Macaca mulatta: one gene and its partner. The protein of the gene in region 2 interacts with the protein of the main gene of each other region in a pairwise test. Links are inferred from orthologs where the notes say so. Each region holds a gene or a part of one and is shown on either strand. Other genes may lie near its edges.

Evidence for each region.
Region 1: the proteins of TOX4 (region 2) and TBX6 interact in binary tests that used the Homo sapiens proteins (3 or more experiments, as listed by UniProt). The link is inferred for Macaca mulatta from reciprocal best matches to the Homo sapiens genes TOX4 and TBX6.

The regions. Positions count from the first base shown.
Region 1 is NC_133425.1:28,475,350-28,479,094, forward strand, and holds the end of TBX6 (T-box transcription factor TBX6), read left to right. Parts: intron 1-94; coding exon 95-241; intron 242-318; coding exon 319-389; intron 390-2,399; coding exon 2,400-2,473; intron 2,474-2,528; coding exon of another isoform or gene 2,529-2,564; coding exon 2,565-2,739; intron 2,740-2,813; coding exon 2,814-3,027; 3' UTR 3,028-3,457; downstream 3,458-3,745. UniProt on the Homo sapiens protein: T-box transcription factor that plays an essential role in the determination of the fate of axial stem cells: neural vs mesodermal. Acts in part by down-regulating, a specific enhancer (N1) of SOX2, to inhibit neural development.
Region 2 is NC_133412.1:94,338,077-94,341,821, forward strand, and holds the start of TOX4 (TOX high mobility group box family member 4), read left to right. Parts: upstream 1-1,263; 5' UTR 1,264-1,302; coding exon 1,303-1,308; intron 1,309-1,519; coding exon 1,520-1,588; intron 1,589-3,745. Other genes in the region: RAB2B (ras-related protein Rab-2B), read right to left, coding at 558-629, 859-904. UniProt on the Homo sapiens protein: Transcription factor that modulates cell fate reprogramming from the somatic state to the pluripotent and neuronal fate. In liver, controls the expression of hormone-regulated gluconeogenic genes such as G6PC1 and PCK1.

The DNA.
Region 1 (3,745 bases), on a different chromosome or scaffold from region 2:
AGGCTGGGACTCTAGGATAGGGTTGGGGGGTGCTAGAAGGGAGGCCAAGGCTGGGGCACAGGGCAGGGAATCACTCCCATTTCCTCCCTCCCAGCTGATCCTGCACTCCATGCACAAGTACCAACCCCGCATACACCTAGTTCGGGCAGCTCAGCTCTGCAGCCAGCACTGGGGGGGCATGGCTTCCTTTCGCTTTCCGGAGACCACATTCATCTCCGTGACGGCCTACCAGAACCCACGGGTGAGTGCCCCTGCTTGAGGGGGTGGTGGCGCCCTGCCCAGTCCACAGTTGCTTTGACCCTGGATGTGTGTCCCCAGATCACACAACTGAAGATTGCAGCCAATCCCTTTGCCAAAGGCTTCCGGGAGAACGGCAGAAACTGTAAGAGGTGGGAGTTGTTCATTCATTCGTTCATGCATTCAACAAATGTTTATTAATCACTCACTGTGTGCCAGGCACCGTGCTGGACATCAGGAATACAGTGGTAAGTAAAAACATTCATTCACTGACTCAGCAAATACTTATATAGTACCTGCTATGTGCCAGGGACAGTTCCAGGCACTGGAGATAAATCAAACAAAGTAAACCAAAGCCCCAGCCCTGATGGAACTGATTTCTAGTGGGGACAGCAGACAAGCAGACAAGAGAAATAAATAAAATGCCATCTGTTAGGAAGCCATTCTAAAGAGAAGAGAGACCAGGTGCGGTGGCTTGCTTCTGTAATCCCAGCACTCTGGGAGGCTGAGGCGGGCAGATCACCTGAGGTCAGAAGTTTGAGACCAGCCTGCCAACACAGTGAAACCCTGTTTCTACTAAAAATACAAAAATTAGCCAAGCATGGTGGCACGCGCCTGTAATCCCAACTACTCGGGAGGCTGAGGCAGGAGAATCTCCTGAACCCAGGAGGTGGAGGTTGCAGTGAGTCGAGATCGTGCCATTGCATTCCAGCCTAGGCAACAAGAGTAAAACTTCGTATCAAAAAAGAAAGAAAGAAAGAAAACTCTGTCACAAAAAAAAAAAAAAGGAAAAAAGGAGAAGAGAAATAAACAGGAAAGGATAGGAAGGACTGGGGTGAGCTATTAGATAAGAGGCCTGAAAAGGCCTCGGCAGGAAGAAGACACTTGAGAAAGAGCTGAAGGAAGTATGGGAGGGAGCCGGGTGGGCATCTGGCAAAGCACACTAGGGAGTGGGAACAGCACGTGCAAAGGCCCTGAGGTGGGGCTGTGCCTGTGGCGTGGCTGCAGTGGAGTGAGTAGGAGTCAGGCAGGGGAGGGGAAGCCAGGTTATCTTGGACAGTAAAGGTTCCATAAGGCCGTGGGAACTGTTCCAAGTGTAGCCCCTCGGAGCTGGCCCCTGCCCTCAAGGAGCTTCCAGTTTGTCAGAAGAGACAGACATGAACCAAGGAGTCACTCCATCAAATGCAAAAGCATTTGCATTTAACTGTCTCATAACTGTGACAGATGTTATGAGGGAGGGGTGTGTGCTCTCGGAGATCAGGGAGGACTTCCTTGAGGAACTTGCGCTAGCACTAAGGCAAGGATAGGTTTGGTGGCTCATGCCTGTAGTCACAGCACTTTAGGAGGCTGAGATGGAAAGATCACTTGAGCCCAGGAGTCGGAGGATGCAGTGAGCTGTGACCATGTCACTGCACTCCAGACTGCACTCCAGCCTGGGCAACATAGCAAGACTGCATCTCAAATTTTAAAAATGAAAAGAAAAAGGGGCCGGGCGAGGTGGCTCAAGCCTGTAATCCCAGCACTTTGGGAGGCCGAGACGGGCGGATCACGAGGTCAGGAGATCGAGACCATCCTGGCTAACACAGTGAAACCCCGTCTCTACTAAAAATACAAAAACTTAGCCGGGCGAGGTGGCAGGCGCCTGTAGTCCCAGCTACTCGGGAGGCTGAGGCAGGAGAATGGCGTGAACCCGGGAGGCGGAGCTTGCAGTGAGCTGAGATCCAGCCACTGCACTCCAGCCTGGGTGACAGAGCGAGACTCCGTCTCAAAAAAAAAAAAAAAAAAGAAAAGAAAAAGGATGGGTTCAGCAGGTGAAGAGGGGACAGAAGAGGATTCCAGAGAGAGGCTCAGAGTGGAGATGGGGCAGAAGGATGAGCTAGGTGAGACCGTGCCCTGGCCTTGCCTCTGGGAAGGAGTTTCCATTGATACTAAACACAATAGTAAAGCATGGACAAGCTTGAGCAGGGACAAAATTCCAGCTCTGCCACTTTCTAGTTATTTAATTTTCTGGCCTTCAGTTTCATCTGTAAAATGGGTATAATGATGGCCCCTACCCGACAGGGTCCCTGGGAGGGTGAAATGCCTGGCACTGGGTAAGTACTGTTATTACCATCACCATGGCCATCACCGTCATCATCATCACCACCACCACTGTTTCCCAGGGAGCGAGATGCCCGTGTGAAGAGGAAACTGCGGGGCCCAGAGCCAGCAGCCACAGAGGCCTATGGGAGCGGAGGTGAGTATAGTCCCAATGGCGATGGGGCCAGGCCTGAGACACGGATCCTCCCTAGCCCAACCTCTCCCTTCCCTCTCCCCGGACGCACCAGGTGGTCCCTGCGACTCCACTCTGGGTGGAGACATTCATGAATCAGACCCAGAACAGGCCTCAGCCCCCGGGGAAGTCACCACTGCCCTGGCACCTCCGTGTGGTGGCCCCAGTGCCGAGGCTTACCTCATGCATCCTGCGGCTTTCCACGGGGCCCCCAGTCACCTTCCCACCAGGTGAGTGGGACAGGGGACCAGGCGGGGCTGCGGGACCCTCGGCACTGCTCTGACATCCTTCTCTCCCATGTCAGGAGCCCCAGCTTCCCGGAGGCTCCAGACTCTGGGCGCTCAGGCCCCTACTCGGCTGCATTTCTGGAGCTGCCACCCGGGCCAGGGGGCTCCGGGTACCCAGCGGCTCCACCCGCGGCACCCTTTGCCCCGCACTTTCTCCAAGGGGGCCCCTTCCCTTTACCATACCCCGGGCCTGGGGGCTATCTGGATGTGGGCTCCAAACCCATGTACTGAGCCATTGCTGGGCCCCTCTGCCTCCATCACAAACCTCCTGCTCCCTTCCCCCAGCCCTGGAGCCCCCTCACCTCCACCAGCCCCATCCCCCACACCAAATGGCTGCCTTGGGCCTGCCCACCCCCCCCCACAACTTCACACCTTGATTTCACTCCCACCCCGCTCTGGCTTCAAAGCCCAACCAAGGCTGCTGGGAGTCCAGCTGGGGCCGGCTTCCCCTTCCCGGCTCTCACCTCCGTGTGAATGGAAGGGGCTCTGCCTGGCCAAATGGGGCTACAGACCAGTATCCCCACCTACCGGGTCCCCCTGTGAGCCCTTGGGGGGGCTCAATCCCCACCCCCACACCACTAGTGCAGGCCACACCAGTCTGTTGTTCTGGGACCAGAGTATTTTTGTTAATAAAACTCAAAAGCCATCCATGCTCAGGAAACACTGAAGCTCCTGTGTTTGGCCCTGGGCGGGGCTGGGTGAGCAAAGGCTTTGCTGGGAGACCCAGACCCAGATCTAAACCTGTGTTTCCAGCTGCCTGACCTAGCACGAAATCTACCAGCTCTCTAGGCCCATCTCTTCAGGAAAGTGGAGAAATCAGAATCTCGTGATGCTGTTAATAAGGCTGCATGAGAACAGAGCCCTCTCCCTAGCACTGGGGAAGCCAGCGGGCAGCGGCCCCTGGAGGCCCTGGGCAAGCTGACTGGCCTGAGCCTGGCCATCCTGGCAG
Region 2 (3,745 bases):
AAGCCCCTTCAGGCTATGCCTTATCACAAATGTGTGGGAAATGTTAATATTTTCCAGGATCCCCAGTGGGTATGAGGAACTGTTTAACACACTGTTTTATTTAAAAGGAAAGTTTTTAGTTTTATTTGCCTATTAATTCTAAGGCAGGGATGACTCTTCAATTTGCTTCTTCACCAATATAAAAAATGTCCATGTATTGGTGTTTACTTTTTAAAAGTAAGGCTGGTATTAATTTACTGCAAAGCACAGATGAGTTTACAAATAAGCAGTTATGCTTTCGTGGGATTTTCCATAAACATAAAAAATTGTACTTGAAAAAAATTATATGACAAGTCTCTACCTCACACTCCAAAAAGTTACCTTTCAATTATATACTCTCCCTTACACTACTCGCCACATATCAACGTTTGATTAACCACTTCATTAACATAACTTTGGACTAGTTTAAAGTAGTGAGGGATAACTTTTTACTTTGAACACTGAAGGCTGCTAACTTTCCACTTTAGCAATTTAGCTAGTCAGGTTTTATCTGTTCTGGAACAAGTAGATGCACTTACCTATTGTGAGGTCGTGGACAGGCTGGAACCGCTTATCTGTAAACTGCAGGAGGAGACATGACTTCCCCACACCTGAAAGAGAAAACACGCTCCCAGAGTCACGTAGCGTTGGAACACTACCCGGACTCTGGACTTCCCGGACCAGAGAAGCGGGGGGTCCCCGAGCCCCGCCCCTGGCCGCCCCGAACCGCCCCGCCCGTCTCGAATCGCCCAGCCCACAAAGTGAGCCCCGCCCCCGCCACCCAATTTGGGAGCTTCGGACGTCCGCCCCAGCCTTGAAGGCGAACAACCTGAGGGTTACCTGTGTCTCCGATGATGATATACTTGAAGAGATAAGCATAAGTCATGATGTCGCGTCCTCTGGGTTCCGGGTCCGCCCGACTTCTACAGCCACTTACCTCCAACCTCTCTAGCCACTCAATCTACCGATCTTCTTCTTCCCGGCCGCCCACCCTCTCCGGCTCCTCTAGCCCAGATCACGTCTCTATTGCTCTCCCCAGAAATCCTCCTTAGGTCGGGAGTACCCAACGCCACCTCCAGGGATACCTCTAGTACTTCTACATGCCATTATCCCTCCAAGCTCCAGGGGGCGATAGGCCACCGCCTGACTCGCTGCAGCCCCCACGGCGCTCCTTCCAATGAGCAGAGAGTAACGCACGTCCTTGCGGAAGTGACGGCAGTTCCGAGACCAGTGGGGGCGGTGGGAGCGATGAGGGTCTGAGACGGTGGGAGCGGTTGTGTGAAGATGGAGGTAGGAACCTGATAGCTAAGAAGGCTGGCGAGAGAACGCGGCCGACCGGGTTGAAGCAGAGACGGGAAGCCGGGTGGAGAGGCGACTGACGGGAGAGGAGAGAGCGCGGGGTTTGGGGAGTGTTGTCAGAATGTCGGGGTCAGAAGCCATCGCTCCAAGCTAATTCCCTGCTCCCCCTAACTTATCCCCGCGGCTTTCTTTTGGTTTCCAGTTTCCCGGAGGAAATGACAATTACCTGACTATCACAGGGCCTTCGCACCCCTTCCTGTCAGGGGCCGAGGTGAGCACGAGCTGCCGACGCCGCGGGGGGAGGGCCTGAGGCCGCGGTGGGGTAGGGTGGTGGGGAGGAGAGCACGCACTCCAGGGACGGGGGCTGGGAACCAAGGGCTGCAATTGGTGTTTAGAGAAAAGTGGCAGCTGCTTCTAGAGCCTATGGGGACTATCTGGGGAAGTCTTGGGAAGTTGCTGTCATCAGAAAAGCAAGCTATTGGAAAGAGATAACCTATTTAAAGAGAAAAGTGATTCTGGATTAGAAGACAGTGAAATTGTCTCCTTTTTCTGGGGAGAAATAACTACAGTAATCTTAAAGGATCGCAGTGGGAAGAAAATTTTTCAGCAGCTGAAGAAACTGGGGTGAGGGGAGGAGCTTACCTAGCAGAGGGTTGACCGTGGAACAGCATGTGTTCATTCCTGTAACGAACTCTGTTGAAGGGGTCTTTTTAAATTTGTTTCATTTATATTTCCTACTGGTTTTGTTTTGTTTTGAGACAGAGTCTCGCTTTGTCGCCCAGGCTGGAGTGCAGTGGTGCGATGTCGGCTCACTGCAACCTCCGCCTCCCGGGTTCAAGCGATTCTTCTGCCTCAGCCTCCCGAGTAGCTGGGATTACAGGCGTGTGCCACCATGCCCGGCTAATTTTGTATCTTTAGTAGAGATATAGTTTCACCATATTGGCCAGGCTGGTCTCAAACTCCTGACCTCAGGTGATCCACCCACGTCGGCCTCCCAAAGTGCTGGAATTACAGGCCTGAGCCACTGCGCCTGGCCTAAATTTACTACTTTAATAAAAAGTTTGTGGTTACCTTTACCTACACAGTGTCGGCTTGTTTTGCTAATGCCAGGAAGAAAGGAAATAGCTGCTAGAGAACATAAAAAGAGTTGAGTAGGATATGTGTTTCAGTTTTTCTGTGACTCAGACGTTGGGCACATTACTTCATCGTTGTATGTCATAGTTTCCCCAACTGTCAAACAGCTGTAATAATAGCTTCTTATGCTGTTTTATAGTAGAAGTAAAGGTTGTGATGAAACCCTAAAGTATTTGTTAAAAAAATCTGGTTGAGCCGGGCGCGGTGGCTCATGCCTGTAATCCCAGCACTTTGGGAGGCCGAGGCAGGTGGATCACCTGAGGTCGGGAGTTCAAGACCAGCCTGACCAACATGGAGAAACCGCGTCTCTACTAAAAATACAAAATTAGCCGGGGTGGTGGCGCATGCCTGTAATCCCAGCTACTCGGGAGGCTGAGGCAGGAGAATCGCTTGATCCCGGGAGGCGGAGGTTGTGGTGAGCCGAGATCGCGCCATTGCACTCCAGCCTGGGCAAAAAGAGGGAAACTTTGTCTCAAAAAAAAAAAAAAAAAAAAAAATTCTGGTTGAAATATTGTCATAATATAGATACGTATCACTTGTTTAGGAGAAGCAAAAGAGAACGGTGGAACAGACAAAAATTTCTGTCTTTGAGAAACTGAAGTCTTGAACCACGTGCCATTTTTTGAGGACTTTTAAATTTATTTTCAAAAGTGGTGTGGACCATTTGCATCAGTTTTTTGTACCAAGAATTGTCAGTGGCTGTCGCATGCGCTTATCCTATAATCCTAACGTTTTCATGGATGAAAATGGGGTTGACAAGGGGTAGTTGCTAGTTTAACTTTTTTTTCTTTTTTTGTCGGGGGGAGGTGACAGTCTCCCTGTAGCCCAGGCTGCAGTGCCGTGGCACGATCTTGGCTCACTGCAGCCTCCACCTCCTGGGCTGAAGTGATTCTTCTGCCTCAGCCTCCCAAGTAGCTGGGAGTACAGGTGTGCGCCACCACACCCAGCTAATTTTTTTTCTTTTTTCTTTTTCTTTTTGTATTTTAGTAGAGACAGGGTTTCATCATGTTGCCCAGGCTGGTCTTGAACTCCTGGCCTCAAGTGATCTGTCCACCTCAGCCTCCCAAAGTGCTAGGATTATAGGCATAAGCCACCATGCCCGGCGCCAGTTTAACTTTTTTGTTGCTTTATTAGTCTTATAAGCAGGGTAAGTGTGAATCTAGTATGTGGCAAACTTAGAAATGATATAAAACCTAAATCTGGACCCAGCACAGTGGCTCATGCCACTAATCCGAACTGTTTGGGAGGCTGAGGTGGGAGAATTGCTTGAGCCCAAGAGTTCTAGACCAGGTTG